3 linked regions of the Drosophila melanogaster genome follow. The protein of the gene in region 2 interacts with the protein of the main gene of each other region in a pairwise test. Each region holds a gene or a part of one and is shown on either strand. Other genes may lie near its edges.

Region 1 (7,362 bases), on a different chromosome or scaffold from region 2:
GACAATAAATTTCATAAATAGCTTATGCATAAAATGCAGTCGGTGGCCCCTTACCCATTCTACTGGCCACTCGATTCGAACGTGGCTCTCAACTCCCGCTGCGTTGATATTAATTGGACGACATAATTGCGGAGCCACGTTGGCCGTAATAATGCGGAGTGCGGTTCGTGGGGTAATTGCTCTGGAAACACGTTCCACTGGCAGCACTCCCCAATCGAAGCGAACTACCGGAGTTGGAATTTGTATAAATATAAATTTTGGCTAACATCGAGGGTCCTCTGCCCGAACTGCGTAATTATGGGTTTTGTGGCACTTGGCTTTTGCATCGCTGCCTTTTTGGCGGCACACACTTGAAATTATCGGTGTGTGTCCGCCATTTAATTTATTGTCTTTGGCGCTGCCCTAAATCCAATTGTAATACAATCCGCCGCATTTATCATATTTAACAACCGACTCCAAACGCACACACATCCTGTATTTAACGGCCTGCTAATACGCGGTTTAAGTTTAATGAGTGCAAAGGAAGGGGTCGCTTATGGCGCGTCATAAAAGGTTGCAAGTAAAGTTATGTTGCAATCAAATAAGAATTTTTAAATTTACCTAAACTTGCCCTTTGCCACTGCGAGAACTGTTTATTTCAAGCCAATCGATTGTGAAAATATTCAAATTTTACTAAAACTGAAATATTTGATATAATAGCCTCAATTTAATTTTGCATATTTTTGTTACCTTTGCGAGGATCTTGTCAGCCCGCAGTCCTTCAGATTTTGGGTTTGTTTGCTCATCATCAGGCTAAGATTGGTTCGAAACCAGCCAGGACATTGTTATGATTATAAATATTTATTTTATGCGCTGCTCTGCCCAGCTCCCGGGGATTTTCTCTCCACTTCCCATCGTGCAAATCGGTTAAATGGACTGTGCTGTTTATTTTTTCATAGTCCCTTAATAAGCCCCATGAAAAATGTGCAAATAAAAGAAGGCGGCTGGGTGGGTCTGATTCTTAAAGGACATAAAACATGTGTGTAAATGTGGAGGTTTTTTTTTTCTTTTTTTTTGCATGTGTGCAGAAAAGAAAATGGCGGTGAACCAAAGATATGGCAGAAGATAAAGACAGAGTCGAAGGAGCAGCGAACAGAAAACATGTCCAGGCGAAATTGCGCACAATTACGGGGCTGAAACGGACTGTACCTCTGCCGCCCACCGCCACGCCCCGCATACCATCCGAGCGGAAAAGAATTATTACGTTGAATTTTCCCCCAAAAAAGCAAAGGAAAAGAAAACGAAGCGAAAGAATTCTCATTTTTTGATAGCCCACCAGAACGATGCCGCAAGGATACACGGAAAAAAAATAATACTATACCCAAGAGACTGAGGTAATCAATAACTTATAATCACGGAAAAGAAACCAATAACATATGTTAAATATATTTAAATTTATCGATGTAAGCCTTTTAAAAATAGTTTTTAAGTTTTATTGATTTTATAAAAAGTTTTTTTCCTTATGACAAAGAACATAAGTGTTGTAATATATTTTTAAATAGTATATTTCAGCTATTTTTCTCTGTGCATTTCCGGATATGCCAGCCACATCGCTTGGCTCACGTGCATATGACAGTGGAGTAAACAATTTCATTTCGCGCAGCAGGACCCACAAGATAACTGCTACAAACGAGACGCAAGATGCTGCAGTGGCGTAGAGGTGGTGGGGCTGGGGCATTTTGGTTGCCAAGGGAGCGTACATGGGCAGCAAGGACAACGACAACACTTGAGTTCTGTTTTCGAAGCCGAAAGAGAAGGACAACAACCACCGGCTAAAGCGGCAGCATAAGAAGTTGCGTAAATATATTGTCCTGTCGCTTATTCTTAAGGGGGGTTTTTTCGTGGATGCGGGACAGGACGAAGGACGAAGGACGCAGGACGAGGGACATCGGACTGCGGTCGGCCGGGACCAATTCGAAGCTCAACTGCCAGCCCCATGGGCGTTTGGACGCAGTTAGTCGAGCGTGCCTGGCGGATTTTTTAATGCGTGCCTCTATAAATTTTGCACGCCTTTTGTAAATGTGAGGACCACGAAGAAATCTCCTGCAGGAGGAGTGGATTTTTTTCAAGGAGGAATGAGTCGTGGGCAGCTGTACACGTGGCCTGACCTGTTTTTTTTTTTTTCGAAACTGTCAAATTGTTGTTACTGCAGCATTCTCCTTCGCTCTGGGGGTTTGTCTCTGCTTCAGAAAATCTTGTATATTTGTCATACGAAATGTTTATCTCCAATATTATTCCATAAATAACATGAAACAACCCTGCTTTAAAAATAATTTTGCGGGTAAGCATTATTTTTGTGAATTACAAAACGCAATCGTTCTATTTGAAACTTTCGATGGTTTATATACATTTATTTACAGTTTTTTATTTAAATACTTAAGAGAGAGCTTACAATAATTAAGATTTGTTCTCCTTCTCTACCTGCGAAGTATCCAAATTAATTTCGTCCTTCAGATCGTAACAAGCCTTCAATTTGATGGTGTCTAGAAAATCCAGCCATTCGCCGAGTTCCTTTTTCTTCTCCTCCTTGTGCTTGTTCTGATTAAGCTTCACGTCGAGGACATCATTCTCAAATTCTCGAGGAGTCACACAGAAACCAAGTAAGAGATTGCGACGTGTAAAGCGGATCATATAAAATGGTTCTCCCTTGGTGAAAAATGAGCTGACCAGCAAATTATTGGCACTCGATTCTTGAGTTCCCGCCTGGTTTTTCATACTTATCTTGGCCCTGTTCAAGTAATTCTTAATCACCTGCTCAAAGTCCCACAAGGTCAGCTGGCAATCCTGTCCACCCACAACCAATATGTTATTATCCAAAGAGATTTCCATGGTATTAATCGAGGCCTTATGATGGTCAAAGAACTGCATCAAAATCTCATTGGCTGTGTCCCAAATCATGATGAGATTGTCATCGCCTCCAGAAACCAAATAACGACCGCAAATTGAGTAGATCAAGGCGGTTATCCTGCTTTTATGACCACGAAAAATGCGCACTTGAACAGCCTTGACAATATCCCAGATCCTAACAGTGCAATCAGCAGATCCAGTGGCCATATAGTGACGATTTGGATGAAATAGGCACACCCCGAGCTCGGCCAGATGTCCTTGAAGAATTCGGGCGGGTTTCGTATTATCCTGCATCCAAACTCTCGCCGTACAATCATCCGATGCGGTGGCGAAATAATAACCCCTTGGTGCAAAAACAACAAAGCAAACCGGTGCCAAATGGCCGGAAAAAATAACCACACAACTCCAGGACAGAAGGCACCACAAGCGAACGCTGAAATCCTCGGAACATGTGATCAGAAAGCGATCCTCTGGATTAAAGGAACAACCATAGACAGGTCCTTGATGTCCGTACAGAGTACGTCTGGTGAACTTCTTAATGGGATCTATCATATCCTTATCAACCCCAGCCATTCCGGTATCCAGATTTTTTAGCCACTGTGCAGCTTTCACTTGAACCAATTTAGAGGGTTTCAGAGAGAAAACATATACCTTAGAGGATACAGTTCCCAGTGCCAACATGCTATTGCCTTCCGAGAAGGTGGCACAAATCACGACCTCATCGGAGGGAGAAGTTGTGTACAAGTAAGTCGATGGCAGGTTATTCCGATCTAATTTCATTCGATACTGTTCATCACTCTTCATGTGAAGCAAATCCATTTTGTTGGGAATCGGATTGTAAACCCTATTTACCGGTGGCAAATGTAAATTATCTGATAACTGTGGTTCGCTCCTTTTCTTGCGACGTTTTTGAAAAAAAGGACGAGCGGCAAAGTCCTTTTTGTGCAAGGGTTCTGGAGCACCATACCATATCGGCTCCAAAAGAGGCTGTCCTATGGCAAATCGTTGCTGGGGCTTGTCATCTTCACTATAAGGCTGTATTTGAAAATGGCTCAGCAATTTTTCTTGCTGACCTCTAGTCCATTCCTCTGTGCAAAGAAGTAACTGTCGAAAAGCTCCCTCAGACATTTCAATCTTCACCTTTTCAAGGCCAGCCAATAATTTGCGTGCTTTATTCGGAACTTCTGCTGGCTTGGAAATTTCTCTTAGCTTTATAATTCTTGATATATATGAATCGTCGAGATGATCTTGAAAGCGAACAAGAAGCATCCTAGCTTTCTGTATCTTATCACTGGCCATCATTTGGAGATAAGTTAGGACCAACAAGGGATATAACAGAATATATATCTCGTATTTGTAGTGACTTGGTGTCGATTGGATCAGTTTAATAAGTTTCTTTACCGCGAATTCATAATCCGCAAAAACCGAATCCTCTTTGATAACCAACAAGCTAACATTTTCCATGTTTTCCAGAAACTGAGCACTATCTTCGTAAAAATCTGAGCCATCACGGGTCCTAATGGCTTCGTCGATATCACATTCACTTCGATGATCTGGGGAACTCTCGTCTTCATTCAAAATAGCCATTAGTTCTTCTTGTGAAACTTCGCCCTTGTCAACGGGACGCAATGACATTTCCTCCCAGTAAGTACATTTATTCTCGTTATGCTGTTCATCAAGATCAGTTTCACCATAATCATAATCATCTAAACTGCTCAAACTAAAACTGGAACTGGTGTTACTGTCCGAAAAGTTGTCATCCTCATCGGCTTTTAACTTTTCTTTTTCCAACTCAGAATCGGATTTATCCAACTCAATTGGCATTTCTGCGTCACTGCGATTCGTGTGCCAGAATTAGTGGAAGTAACTTAATTATAACTTAAGACTTACGTTACTTCCTTAATTAAGTCTGGTTGTATGATGGGTGGCACCATTTCAAATTGACAGGTTTCTTCATCATAAATCGGCATCGATGGCATCGGACCAGTAAAAACTGGTATTGAGGGAAGTTCTTCACAAGCCTTTGGTTTTTCATCTTCAGCACTAAAGGAAAGGAATTAAAAACTCTAGTGTAAACTAAGTCCGAAAATATTTGTTAATATCGCTAACCTTTTATTGAATGGAAATAGATTGACATTCTTTATTCTGTTAATCCATTCGGTGGGCGATCCTGAAAATAACGTTCCTTACTTTGTTAATATGCATTTCCTTTTTGGAAACTTACCATCTGAGTTGGAATCATCTGAATCGCTAATTTTATCGGACTCCGAGCTGCTCCATATTTCGCTATTACGATCATCTATATCGTCTTCATCATCGGAGCAAGCAATTTCGAGTCCCATAAGGTCTTCGAATTCTTTCAAATACCATTTGTTCATTTTTATCTGACTATTTTCATTCTTAGACTTTTGGCGTTCCTTGTTTTTGGGTTTATCCTTGTTATCCTCCAGTTTCATAAGCTCATTTCTGATATCATCGGAATCGGAATCATCCGAATCGGAAATAACGTACACTTCCTGATTGAGCGCATGAAGAGTTTGGATACTTATTTTAACCAGTTGTTAGAAAGCGCATACATATTCTTACTCACATCACTAGATGGTATTAGTATTGGCAATGGTAAATCCATCTTTATTGCTCTTAAATATTTGAACAATCCAAATCAGCCCTAGTGCAATAAGTGAATATTTTCCTTGACTTGACAAGTTTTCGATTTGACAGCTGCGCATTGTGTGGCCGTATTTTTGAAGCCCATTTTGCCAAAAAGCCAAAATCTGATTTTGTTTTATGACGTTAAAACTTTTTTTTTTGGATATATTGTACATTGTTTCTAACAAACAAAATGTATTTCCCAATATATATATATATTTCTTTCTTAATTGTTAATTTATATTACAACACCTTATAACTTTTCAAATGGTCTTTATGGCATGGCCAGCTCAACTTTTGTGGTTGATATTATGTTTTCAAATACATTCCCTCTATTCGATTTATCCATTTTTTTTCACAAATTTTACCCAACATGACACGGCGACTACCGCTGATCTGAAACAAAATGCTGGCTCAGCAGCACATCACATGAGGGCGCTGGAATCCAGGGTGTCCTTAAAAAGCGAGGGGTGGTGGAGGGGCTGAACGACTGGTCCATAGGTAAAAAAAAATTAATTTGCATACCCAATACTCGACGGATTTGTTGCTACGCAGAGGTTTCCCATGCCACTGTCCATTTCAGGGACCTCTTTTAATTTTACGTTATACCCTATATGTATATTGGGTGTTTTTAATTTTCCGCCCAAAGATCTGCTCACAAAGGTAAAATCGTTTTACCTTGAAGGTGAAAGTTTGTCAGTCTATTGTAAATTCTTAATGACCAACAGGGTTACACAACTATCTAAATAATTTGGAATATTTTTTAACAGAGTATTTTTCATTCGGCTCTAAAAATAATTTTATGTTTTGATACTTCTTTTCACCACTCACTTGTCAGTGGAATTGTGCGAGTATGCTGGCGGACCAAAACCCGCGGATGCGTTTGGAATTCTTCCGCAGTTCGGGCAATATGTCGGCGGCGCTGGCAACTCATTTTGCAGGGCACATAAAATAAAAAAGACGTGCGTAAAAAATGGATATACAAAAAGCCGGCGACAGGACAACCCGCAGCAGAAGCAGAAAATGTAGCTGCATATTGTTTTGTAATTTTCGCCATGATTTATGGCGCGCACGGGGATGCACACTTTAAGTGCTTTAAATAAAATAAAAAAAAAAACTGCATTAAAAACTAGGAATATTGGCAATTGGTATTCATGGATGGGTATGTGTGTCAATAGTCAAGGGCCAACAGTTAGAGGCGAACACAATGGCAAACAAAGCCTCATTATGGACAGCAACAATTGCCAAATCACTTGATATGTAATGCTGGCCATAGATAAATCACACTGCAGCATAATCCATTGTAAAGTGTCGAAAAGCTGCAATTGAAATGCAAATCAATGCAAATCGATACTTGAATCATCACCAGCCGCAACAGCAGCAGCACCACCAGAATCTGAATCAGAAACAGAAACTCGAACATGAATGATTCATGCAACGCACGCGAACATTCAAATGCAAATACTCGAATGCCAGAATGCAAAATCCGAAATGCAAAAATTATCCAAAAATGCAAATTTGCGAGTGCGAAAGCCCCGCTGAGTGAGGCCAACAATCAAATCAAAATAAATGCACCGCACACACACACCGAAATCCCAAATTGCAACAAAGCCAAAAGTAAACACACAACAAACAATGCAGCTTGCGGATTTTCGCACTTCCGCTTAACTGTTGCTAATTTGATTAGGGAATTTTCCACAGGGGCGGGGTGCAAAAGTCGAAAAGGGGGCGTGGCAAGCGAAAAGGCCATAAACATTTTTAGCTGCTGCTGATTTCGCTCTGGCCTGCCAACTTATGCAAATTATCTTGTGTGATTTATGCCCGGAA
Region 2 (7,700 bases):
TGTTATAGGGCTGCCAGATTGCAAGACGACTGGTCACCTTAGCTCTGCGTAGTTGCAATGTCAACCGAGAGGTGGCACCTTGGTGCTTGACTGTTTTATTTTGAATTTAAAAACAATAGAAAATGGTATAGTCGAGTTCCCCGACTATCAGATACCCGTTACTCAGCTAGTGGGAATGCCAAAGGGAACATTTCATCATTTTTCTGGGATATCGATAGATACTGGGGAATAAAATAGTCGTGACCGTTTTGGGCGTATTGTAGCAAAAGGAGGCGCGTGGCTAGTGTTTTTTTTTGCACGAAGAAAAATCTAAGCATTTTTCAAAAGTGTGGGCGTGGCAAAATGAGATCAATACAGACGGACATGGCCAGATCGACTCGGCTATTGATCCTGATCAAAAATGTATAGACAAATGTATATGATCGCAATCGCTTCCTTCTGCCTGTTCCATACTTTTCAACGCATCTAGTAATACAGGTATAATTAAACTATGAGAATGTCGGTAGCTCGTAATTAGAATCATATTTTAGGCTAATAACAATTCTTTATGAATAATAATTATAATAATTTGCATTTTCATTTTTTTTCATTTCCGTGGTAGAATTCTACACACTTTAATCGCTATCATAAGTTTGGTCATCCAGCGGCTCCGTACCAGGTGAAAATTCTTGTACATCCTGGGGCTCCATTTTGTACACTCGCTGTTCTTGCACAAACAGGGACTCCGTTTTAATAATAAATGGCTTTGGAACCCATCCTTTGAAATTCTTATTAGCGTTTTCTTGTTTAATGAGCAGGTTTTGTGAGTCACGAAAATCTTGTTCCCTGCTGGCCACCAGTTGACGCCCCTTTTCCTTGGCCGTGGCAATTAACTCCCTGTACTTGGGCAGCCTTTTCTCAAAGATCTCATTGGTTTTCTTCACCGAAACCTTGACCAATCCATCTTCCGGAAAGCAACGCAATGCGTTCTGGAACATCTTTCGTACAGAGCTCACGAATCCATCAAAGCTCTCAAAGTTATCGGAGTCCAAGCGCTCCTGTAGTATCTTCCAATCGAGTTTCTCTTCGCGATCGTGGTCGTAGTCCGGATTCTGGGAGTACCTTCGCCAGTAGTCAGCCTGATTAAATGCCCATGTAACCTGCTTGCGCTTTCGCTTTACCATCGACTTCAGAAGATGATCTGAGTGGCTTTTTTCAATCATTCGGTCGAGAGACTTGTAGCAGATGATAATGGGTGGATTGGGAGCCGGAGGAGGCGATGAAGCTGGAGATTCAACTGGTGCTGGGGTTGGCCAAGGCAAAGTCATGGGTTCCATTGGAGGGGACGGTAAGGGTGCTGCCAAGGAATCCAAGGGACGATAGGAAATTGGCTCTGAGGGCGGTGGATCCATTGCTTCATTTGTCTCCCAATTATTCTTGAATATCGGATTCATCATTGATGACATTGGATGCATAGATTGCATGGGATTCACCAAGGAATCGGGCATAAAAGATGGGATCAAGCTGGGACCCACGAAATTTCGGAATGAAGGATTAAATGACGACACCCCGCCAGGCATCGGTGGGGGACAGAGCCATGAGGAACTACTCGAGAGCCACTGTCTAGAATAATTGTTAGATGCTCGAGGTGCTGAGAACGAAGTCGAGGCTTGATCCAATGATTCAGTAGCCTTTCTCTTGCGCTTTTCCGACTTCGGCTTTAGTTCCACCTCCGTGCTCAAATCAATGGACTCCATTCGCATGTAAAAGGCCTCCATTAGAAGCTTCCCTGCCTGATAAACCGGTGAGCCCTCCAAATTGTACAACAAGCAGTTATCGAATATCAGCTTGAAATCCTCCAGAGCCTCGCTCGCCTGCCAGTAGTATTTGTTGTGCAGTCGCTTCCTAATTGTACTCAAGTCCATCGGATGCTTGACCACCGCATGGTAGTCGGGCACACCCAGGCTCACAGAATCGACGGGATGGCGAAAGTGATACGAGAAGCGATTGCGCCATAAGCAATTCAGCACGGACTTGAGCTCTTCTAGGATGTTTGTCCTTCGCCCAGGACGATTCGGTGGCGGAATCACCGGCGGTTGCACGATGCCATTCACCGGCTGCAGATACGGCTCATTGCGCGGCGGAGGCTGGTTGCTATTCGACTGCAGTTCATTCATTGCTGGTTTGTAAGGTCACCCAACTCCTAATATTAGCCTAAAGCAGTTTTTTTTTTTTTTGGTATTTAGGAAGAATGTGAACTATTTCAAATGCTTACTTTTTGAACAACTCAAAATTCACAGCTCCTTTCGGCTCGGAATACAGAACTTTACTGAACTTCTTTTCGTCAAACACTAATAATTACCTCTTGACACTAGAGTCTATGGTGATGTGATTTACATTTATTGTATGTAAGTCTCCGTTGGGAGTAGTAGAAAATAAAAAATGACCAGACGGATTTTGTCACTGACTTTTTTGTGCTACGTTGGGTCTGTCAAAATTTGTGACATTCACAGTGAGCTTACATTCGATAGCTAGCAATCGTCTAGTATGAGTGATAATACTCCTTTCTAAGGTGCAACTTCAGGGACCTTGGTAGTTGTTGCCACCGCAGATATGCCAAAAAAAAGTTTCCCATGGTTGCTCGGCTGGATCATCACAGCTCTAGTGGGAATCAAACGAAGTGGTTTTGTGGTGGCACCTTGATAAGTTATCAGGTGGTTTTAACGGCTACTCACTGCTTCTACTCAGATGTGTAAGTACAACCAAAGACACTAGAATAATTCTATTCTATTATTCTAGTGTCTTTGGTACAACTTACCAACTTACAAGTTACGGTTGGATGCAAACGAGGATGTGCCGGAAGGCTATAAGGCGGAGTCCCAGTTGTGTGTTGGATCTCCGGACCATAAGGACACATGCAATGGTGACTCGGGAGGTCCTCTGCTGGTTCGTCACATCGGGATCGGATGCTAGTATCAAGTCATGGGAATAACTTCAGTGGGAATCGCGTGTGGAACTCCGAACATTCCCAGTTTGTATACAAGGGTGTATTTCTTTAGAGATTGGGTCAAGCGGGCCATGAATCAAAGAGTTATCTTGTTTTTTAAATTTTTATTTGCTCCGTGTGTTTCCGCTAAGTGTGATTTCATTTTTGTTTTACAATTATAATTTTACAATAGTTTCAACTAAATAAATAATAACAATTTATAAATATAATTTTTTTCCACCCTTCCTAATTTTCTCATGATTTTTACCTTTTTGTGTTTGACATAAATAATTTGTTCTTCTAGAGTTTAAAAAACAATTTGTGCAATCACAATAAATGAAAATCAGTAGCTGTTTTTGATTTGATATCATTTGCTTGACAAGGCAAATGTAATTGTTGTGGATGTTCTTTAAACTTAGTGGCTAAGTATCAGCTTAGGTTACCTATTTATACAAATAATCGGTAGGTCTATAAATTGCAACGAAAACAAAACCTATAAAAACCAAGGATCTATATGCAATAAATAAATACTTAATACGAAACATCTTGGTAGCTTTTGGTGCTTACTATATACAAAACAACGCAAATTTGCGCCGAGGCGCTGTCTATGAAGCCAAAAACCTATCGCTAATTGTTAGAACTGCTCTTTGTAACTTGATTTTCATTAACATCATCTTGCTGTTTTATTGTCTATTTCGAAAGTGTGGCGCGCGCCGCCCAGCGACGCAACTAAGCGGGGAGTCTGTCAAAGAATACAAAACAACAAACTCCAAAGCTGAGGCCTGACACCTAACACTAAACTCTATACTCGTATCGTCACATATGTATGGATAACTCTATATATATGGCCTGGCGGTATGTATCCTCCTGCTGCCCACTACTTATGCCCGATAACGAGGGTGTAGCTGGCTGTGCTCACTGTCGACGATAACGTCGACAGCGCTGGTCATTTGGCCAGCTTCAGGATCTCGGAACGGGCCGATGTTGTCGCTGTCCCGGTTCCAGTTGAAGCTGCTGCAGCTCCAGCTGCTGCTATCGTCCCAATGTTGCCTGTGCCCGTTGTGGCCACCGGTGGAGCCGGAGCAATGCGTATGGGCTTGGCTCGCTGCTGATTGAAGAGGCCACTCAATGTGGCCGCCGTACTGGTGGTCAGCACCATGCTGGCCCCACTTGTGTTGGCCTGGCGCTTGCTCCGCGCGAGTCCATTTATTTTGTTGTTCGTTGAAGAGGGCGATTGCTGCTGCTGTTGCTGCTGCTGCTGCTGCTGATACTGCTGTTGTCCGCCAATTACAGCTGGTCCTGCTGATGCGGGAACAGCAGAGATGGTTGCGGATGACGAGGATGTGGCTGCGGGTGTCGAGGAGGCTGAAATGTTATCCAACTCAGTCATTGCTTCTTGTATGGCCCGCTCGAGCTGCGAGTTCAGTTTGCGGCTCCTTTGTGGTCGCATGGTGAGTGTGTATATGTGGTTGAGTTTTTGGTTGGTTTCAGGTTGGGTTCGGATTTGGGTTTTTCATTTTCGAGTGGGGTTGTTGTTGGTCATGACGATGATGATGATTATGCATACACACACAGAGTTATACACGTTGGGGTTGGCGGGGCATGGTTTAATTTTTGGATTTGGTTCAGCGCATTTAAAAAAAAAGAAACAAGAATATTAATTAGCAAATTAAAAGTCAAATTGTAAACAATGATTAAACTAATTAATAATGCATTTAAATGCCGATTTATCGCTTAATTGCATAGTTAATAATATAAAGTGTCCAATTTTCTAAATATATGTAGCTACGGTTGTAAGGCTTAATAAAGACTGCAAAAAATAAACTAAAAAGTTATCTAGAAGAAATGAAAATATTTTGTATACAAAAATAAACAAAACAAAAATTGTAACGTTTGCTTTCATACAATATGCAAGAATAAACTACAAAGTTAAGATAAATACGCATTACTTCAAGATAGGAAAATTTTATAAATTTAAATTCAACAAATATTTTTCAAAATCGTACAAAAACTAACTACAGAGCTGGTCTGGAGTTCACCTAAAGCCGAAGGTTTCCTGAAATGCTGCCTGTTTTAAATATGAACTTGAATAAATATTTTCCCCTCCTGATCTCTTCCAGAAATTCCCACCCTTAGTCGATGCTCACTTTCTCGTATCCTTCTGGGCCTTGTGATGTGCTTCCAGACCCTCGGAGAGACTCTGCAATGAGTTGACCGGAATTAGCTCGGAGGTCGAACGACCGCCGCCGCCGAACCACTGAACCCAGACGTGGTCGAATTGCTGCGACGGCGTGCACACTCCGTCTGGCATCTTGACAATCTTTCCGGGCCAGGCGGGATGGCCCCGAGCTGGACCCCATATCAGTTCCCCAATGGCAAAGGATCGTGGTGGCAGCGGGAAACTTTTATCAGACGCCGAGGGCGCCGCACGCGCTGCCCCTCGTTGCGGTCGGCGCGAACGTTTCGTGGGCGTCCTGACCGTCGTCTTCTCGACTGTTGGTTGAGCGGTTGGAACTGATGAAAGCAGCTGCGTTGTGGTGGGCGACTCTACGAAAGGCACACACACACACTCATAGAAACTAGGACTACGAATTTGGTTACTCGGGGGCAATGGTGATCCCAGCACCCAGCGAAGTACAGACGAAGGGTAGAGATTCTAAACTAAACAAAGGTGCAGGTACATGTGCTGTAGGTGGTGCAGGCGATCATGCAGTCGCCAAACGGGTGGTGTTGTGTTGGTGGGTTAGCGTGTGGATGCAATTAGTGCTGGTCAGCGATGGGTCCTTACCCTGATAGTCAAAGTTAACTACTTTGTGGCTATGAAGGAAGGTGTTTGGATGGCTATTGGAGATGTTTGGGATGTGATGGTGCACGGCCTGCTGGCGGTGCATAAGCTGGCGTTGACCAGCCAGAGCAGTTGTGGTTAGTGGTGCCGACGATGACGATGTTATAGACATGGATGCAGATGTGGAGTTTGTGTTAGATGTCGCCAGGCGCATACCTTGTCCCTGCATCAGGCTAATTCCGTTCTCCGCCGACGTCTGTGAGGTGATGTGGATGCGTCTGATCTTTGGCTCCGAATGCTTGTAGATCCCACTGGGCTGGGTAAACACATTGTTCTTACAAATGCCTAGTTGTTAAACAGAATTGGTTAATATTAACAGGATTCTTCTTGAAGAAGATGCACTTACTCCTCTCACAGTCCGTTGAAGAGGGCGACTGCCGACTCTCAGTACTTTGGGGAGAGACAGCTGCATCCGGCTCCGAACTGGATACACATTGTACCTACCAAAGTAAAAGCGGTTAGAAGAAATCAATATGAGAAACATATTCAAAAAAACTCACCATATCGCTACCGCTGCTGCGATGGCTGGAAGGCCGCTCCGGACTTCGTGGACTACAGGTAGTTGTGTCCGGCGGACTGGCGGCCGTTCCCTGGCGACTCATCACCGTCTCTGTCATGTAGGTGGCCTGTGCTGGCTGCAAACTGATCTGCGTGGGCTGCGGGGCTGGCTGTTGTTGGATCTGTATAGTTGTTGTCGTGGGACTAGCCTGCACAAAGGATGCACCTCCCTGCTGACCGGTTGGCATGACCAGACCCATGGGCGTGGAGTAGATCTGACCGATGGGACTCAACTGGCCATTGGCACCCACTAAGTACTGTTGGCCTCCGGCACTCGGGGATATGAAAGAGGGTTTGTTCTGTGGCGATGGCGTTCTCAACATCACGGGACCCTGCGGTGTCATCAAGCTTGTTGCGGGCATATTTTGGATCTGTAACAGTGTGGCATCTGGTCCCATTACCAACCCGGCCGGCATGAGAAGCTGCTGTCCAATGAGATTAACCTGTTGCAAGATTTGCCCATTCTGGAGCAGAAGCTGCTGCGTCTGTGGTTGCTGAGGGGGATTAGGTTTGTTTACCACAATTCCCTGAATACCAGGACTCAATTGGAATTGTTGCTGGAATTGAGGAGCAGCAGCCGCCGCTGCAGCTGCCTGCTGGTGAAGCAGAGCTGGTGCCTGGTTTGGGATGCTGGGCGAGATCTGAGGCGAAATGATTTTGGCGGGCGATCCACTTGGCGGCGGTGTATGGCATACAGAACTTTTGCGCTTCCGCGCTCTCCTCTTGGTGTCCGGCGAGCTGATGATAAGTGTTTGCGCCGGCGGCGGTTGCGGCATCGCCAGGATCTGTTCTGCCTGCTGTGGCGACTGCGTTTGCGGCTGCTGCTGGACGATGTAACCTCCATTGGGCAGTGTGTTGAGCAGCACCGTTTGCGGCTGGTTTCCTGATCCTCCTGAAGTCGCTTGATTAATCTGTCCAGCCTGCGAGGTGATGATCTGGTGGTGCAACAACTTGGCTCCACCGGAGTTTAGGATCACAGTACTGCTGCTACTGCTGGAGCTTGCCGCCGCCACCGGAGAGGGCTGGCTGACGATATAACCACCACCCGGTTGAGGATGCAACTCCGCCGGCTGCTGTTGCTGGATGATGACACCTTGTCCGGGCTGACCTGGGCGATGATGTTGCGTTGTCTGCTTGCTGGGCGTCGGTATGACCAGTAGTTGTCCCGAAGAAGTCATTATCAATTGTCCACCACCACCTGCTCCGTTCATGGCATTCGCCATGGATTGCAACTGCGCCACAGTGGGATTCGAGTTGTTTAACGTGGTGGCCACAGGACGCCCTGTAATCGTACTCGTTCCCGCCGTGGAGGTCACTATGCTCCTGGTCATC
Region 3 (4,735 bases), on a different chromosome or scaffold from region 2:
CGGCGTCCTCGTCTGCTGGTTCTTCCCTTCTTTCCATTTCTGCAGGGCTTTCATATTGCCGCCCTTTTTTTTATATTTATCCATATATTGCCCGGTTCCAATGGGATGCGGGATGGCCAGGTAGGGATTCGTTCGCAGGTGCGAGGCAAGTGGGTTTGGGGGAAAGGGATGTGCTTGCCACTGACAGCCTCACACGTTTCCTTTGCGTCCCCCTGGCGATCCTTTTAGCACCTGGCCCAGTCTCTGGGTGTATAATTTCATCTGCCAACTGATTGAGTGTCGCAGTTTTACTTATGTGAAAAACGAACAAGATTTTTATCTGGAAATCGGCAATAGAGAGCGGAATGTTTGCCGTGAAATGCGAAGTAAAGTTCTGCCCCGCTGACATATCGACAAGATCAAAGGGAATCGTGTGCTAAGGGCTCTCAGCTACACATATGCATAAAAATATCACTCATATCAATTTATTCTAGGTCTAGATGCCTCCAAAGCGAATGATCTTGCGAAAAAGTGGATATATGACAGATATAGGGTATAACTTTATCTATATTGTTATTTGGTATTTTTGATTATATATATTTTAAATATACTTTGAAGATTAATCTCTTTTTCTTTCGGTTTCGCAAACTCTATGTGTAAAGTCTCCAAACTTGGGGTTGAAGGTCAACATCCGAACCAGATGATGCCCAGAGGTGAATCCCCATTCGCAAGTGGGTCAGTGGAGTGCAATCCCAATTGACCCATTCGCAGGACCATTCCCCCAAAGGCCCAACAGCAGACTGAAGAGGCGCCCCAAGATGTGGCCAAGACCTGGTCCGATTGCCACCCAATTTGCAACATTTTGTGGCAGGTAAGTTAACAGCGAGAAAATGAAGGTCTCCGTAAATCGGTTGCTCTCAGTTGTGGATCGCAAGCTAACAGAGGGAGAGAGCCACAGGAACAGGATTTCCCCTCATGCCTGTGGAAGCCAACTTAACAGAGTGACTTTAAACAGGATTTCGATTTAACTTTTGTAAACCCAACTTGTTGACTGCCCAAATGAAAGCCCTGCAAATATTTGCCCAAAAATGATGTATATTGTGTGTCCTAACAAAACTTTTATGCTAACGAAATATTTCGGCACTCTAAAATAGCAAACGTCAGCGGTTGACCATAAATATTTTCGCCCCCACAGCTCGATGGGGATTTTAAATACGTTTACCGAAAAAAGGACTGTTTGTACGGGTCTCGGAATTAGATTAACCATCATAGCTTCAGGATTGAGGCAGAGCATTCCCACAAAGGACCGCACTCCCACACAAAATGTATGGAAATACTTTCCTGGCCGGAGCCACTTGCATAATTAACTGAATTTGTTTGTTGCCCCAAACCGCATTTGTGGATTGACTTTTCTGCTCGGATTGAGGTGGCAATCCTAAAAGTTTTCATAAGCTAAAAATATCATCGTACAGGGCAACCCGGAGTGTGAATATTGTCAGTTGTATTGCGTTCAAGTTGTCAAAACGATAGAAATTATAATAGAATTTTCCGATAGTCGATATCGAAGATATTTTTCTGAAATGGCTGCAAAACAAGAAACTGAACGGTCCTCGCCGGAAATTAATGCCTGCAAGGTGATTATTAAAAGGTTGTTTTCCAGTACCTATAAGAATATTGCTTGGGTTTTCTACGAGCCACTGGATCCGCAACTGCTGGGCCTCCACGATTACCATGAGATTGTCCGGGAACCCATGGATCTGTCCACCGTGAGGCATCGTTTGAATACGGGTTGCTATCTCAGTGCCGCGGATTTCGCCAAAGACATAAGGCTGATTTTCTACAACACCTATCTGTACACGAATCCCGATCACCTGTGCTACCACATGGCCAAACAGCTGCAGATCATCTTTGAGGAGATGTACTCCCAGGTGCAGCTCTACATCTGCTCCAGCGGCAGTAAAGTGCGTGCCGAGGAAGAGAGCTCCTCGGATGAATCGGACTCATCATCGCCGGAGGACGAGGTGAACGGCTCGGAGGTGTCCCCCTCCATAATGGGTGCGCCCCCCTCATGTACTCCAACCACCGAATGTACTCCGACCCCCGATTGGACTCCGCCGGCAACTTTGGAAACTTCGGAGCAGCAGGAGCCCTTTACAACCGAGGAGGACCTTGATCTGCACGCCAAGATTCAGCAGCTGGACGGCGAGGTGCTGCTCCACGTCATCCATTTCATTCAACGCATGGAGGGCGCCGAGTACTGCAACAAGGAGCTGGAGTTCGACATCTGCAAACTGAAGGTGCACACCAAACGCGGCATCCGTGATTATTTGGCCAGCAAGGGGTTCACCGGCAAAAGAGTGGCCCGCACCAAGCCCAAATATAATTGAGTTTCAGATTGAAAAAGAGTTTTAATTTATTGTAATCTAGTCCTTTTTGCCCAAAAGCTTCTCCTGCTCCTTTCTCTTGTCGCGCATGGAGCGGTAGTTCCGGAAATCCCCATTCCACGTCTTGTTACGCATGATCTCCAGCGGATTGGAAGCTATGTAAGCGAAAAAGGTCTTCCGAGGAGGTCCTCCGGGCACCAGATAGTTGCCCATGGCGTACCAGGCGGAGCTCACGATGCTTAGGTAGCGGGCATTCAACTGATCGTGATATGTTTGCTTAGCCAGGGCAGCCTGAAAAATATAGTTTTAGTATAGTAAAATATATGTACATATATATATATATATATACCGTATTCTTAATCTGCTTATAGAAGTTAAAGTTCTCCTTGGATCTGGGCAGGCGATCAATGCCCATAAGATCGGGACTGGCGGGACTGCTCTGGAGGATGGTGACCAGCTCGAATATCCTGCTCGACTCGGCTATACTCTCCTCGAGCTCCTTCTGGCTGTAGGTTTTGCCGTACCTCCTCTTGACCCACTCCCGCAGCACTGGCAGCTTGTGGGCGTCTGGCAGACAGGCCAGCACATAGCGGGGCTCCTTCCTGAGTACTCGCATGCCATCCTTTAGCAACTTGTCCATCTGGGCGGCATCGTTCGGATCGAATGATTCCGTATCCTTATGGGTCAGTGCCTTGCGCGGCGTCATTCTGCCCATGCGCTCCATCTCGGCCCGCTTTATTAGGGTACGCTTCTGCCAAACCGCCTTGGCACATCTCACTACTGCATCCACGATCTCCGCCTTGTAGTTCACATGGCTGCGACCACTGTGGTTGCTCGAACGATCCAAGGTCTCTCGACTGTCGGAGATTCTAGTCTGATCCAGGTCACTAAAGATTTCCAACGGGGGCTGGCTGTCCTGCTTCGATTTCTTCTCCGGCTCGGTTTCGGGAAGGCCTTCAGACTTGGAATCCGGAGGCGCCTCGTCCTCAATCACCATCTCCGACAAAAGCTCCCTAAAGTAACACGGATCGGCTTCGTCCCCATCCGACTGATCCAGCGCCTTCACAAAAGACTTGGCCATAATATGACTGAGATCAAAGGGTTTCGGTTGGCCGGATTGGAAGACCCGATGGTATTTGAACTGGTACGGCTTGTTCGAACGGGGTCCCCGGAAGAACCTAGTTTTCACATGCCTGTTATTGGGCATGCGCATATCGCACTTGTGTGCATTCCCTTCGATCTTTCCCTTGGCCAGGATAAAAGATACGGCCGACTTTTTGGGAGCCGGAGGAAGCTCGCACTCCGAAGGACCAACTACTTGCGTACACACCTGTGTGTACTCGTTGAAGTCGATGTTGTGGATACGGAAGGGGCCGCTAACGAGTTTGCGAGGCGGTGGCTTCCAGGGCGATACCTTCGGCTTCTTCGGATTTTCTGGTTCCGGTTCCACTACTTTAGCCTTTTTCTCCTTTTTCCCCTTCTTGTCTTTTTTCTTCAATACAGAAAGATTGTAATGAAAGTTAATCTATTTGGTAATTTTCCACTCACCGGCTTTCCTCCACCACCCTTTAGCCTCTTTCCGCGGCCCTTTTCTGCAGGCGGTTGGGGTACTGTGGAATCCTTAATTTTGTTCAATAGAAAAATAAAAGTGGGTATGGAAAATGTAAATATATTTGGTAATTTCAAACATACCGTCTTCTCTGCACCTCCCTCCAGCCTTTTTCCGCGACAAGTATCGATTCCACTGGTACGGGCTACTGTGCCATCCTTTTTTTTCTTTAATTGGATATTAGGTATAGAATGTATGTATTTGATAATTCTCAACTTACCGGCTTTTCCGCACCACCCTCCAGCCTTTTTCCGCGGTAAGTATCGAATGCAGTAGTATGAGCCACGGTACAATCCTCGCCCACCAGAGCCCGACCAATCTGACCCTTGGTTTCCGGCCAGGGTTGCGATACCAGCATCTGCTGGCACAGCACGCAGTCAAAATTCTCGATGGTCAGCACCTTGGTCTGGTCGCAGTGCATCGCGTTTCGGTGGCGGGCCATTATTACGTCGATGTCGTGCTCCAACTGGGCCACGATTCTGGCCTTTCGAAGCTTGGCGTATGGCTCGTTCACATCGAGGAGTTCCAGGCAGCGATCCCTCGCCTTGACCGCCAGTTCATCCCTCAGGAGCTGGGCCTGCAACACCTGACCCTTGTGCACCAAGCACATGTTGGCTTCGGGCTCCCGACTTTGTTGGGTTTCCTCCGCATCCTGCTTCCCCTCAACTGCTGCCAATTTAAAGTAACGCTCCAGGGTCTCGGAGAGGGTTTTCTTGATCAGTCGCTGGCCGGGATTCAGTCGGTACAGCGCATACCAAGGCTC

The links.
Region 1: the proteins of tbrd-1 (region 2) and can interact in a two-hybrid assay, tested with the Drosophila melanogaster proteins (one study listed by BioGRID).
Region 3: the proteins of tbrd-1 (region 2) and tbrd-3 interact in a two-hybrid assay, tested with the Drosophila melanogaster proteins (one study listed by BioGRID).

Annotation. Positions count from the first base shown.
Region 1 is NT_037436.4:10,261,551-10,268,912, forward strand, and holds can (cannonball), read right to left. Parts: upstream 5,562-7,362; 5' UTR 5,516-5,561; coding exon 5,477-5,515; intron 5,403-5,476; coding exon 5,111-5,402; intron 5,057-5,110; coding exon 4,996-5,056; intron 4,930-4,995; coding exon 4,777-4,929; intron 4,721-4,776; coding exon 2,437-4,720; 3' UTR 2,359-2,436; downstream 1-2,358.
Region 2 is NT_033777.3:23,891,097-23,898,796, forward strand, and holds tbrd-1 (testis-specifically expressed bromodomain containing protein-1), read right to left. Parts: upstream 2,465-7,700; 5' UTR 2,255-2,464; intron 2,194-2,254; 5' UTR 2,157-2,193; coding exon 615-2,156; 3' UTR 501-614; downstream 1-500. Other genes in the region: sba (six-banded), read right to left, coding at 3,912-4,401, 5,113-5,512, 5,967-6,095, 6,157-6,250, 6,311-7,700.
Region 3 is NT_033778.4:23,324,381-23,329,115, reverse strand, and holds tbrd-3 (testis-specifically expressed bromodomain containing protein-3), read left to right. Parts: upstream 1-1,534; 5' UTR 1,535-1,559; coding exon 1,560-2,366; 3' UTR 2,367-2,377; downstream 2,378-4,735. Other genes in the region: CG9861 (uncharacterized protein), read right to left, coding at 2,403-2,654, 2,713-3,855, 3,912-3,983, 4,056-4,139, 4,193-4,735.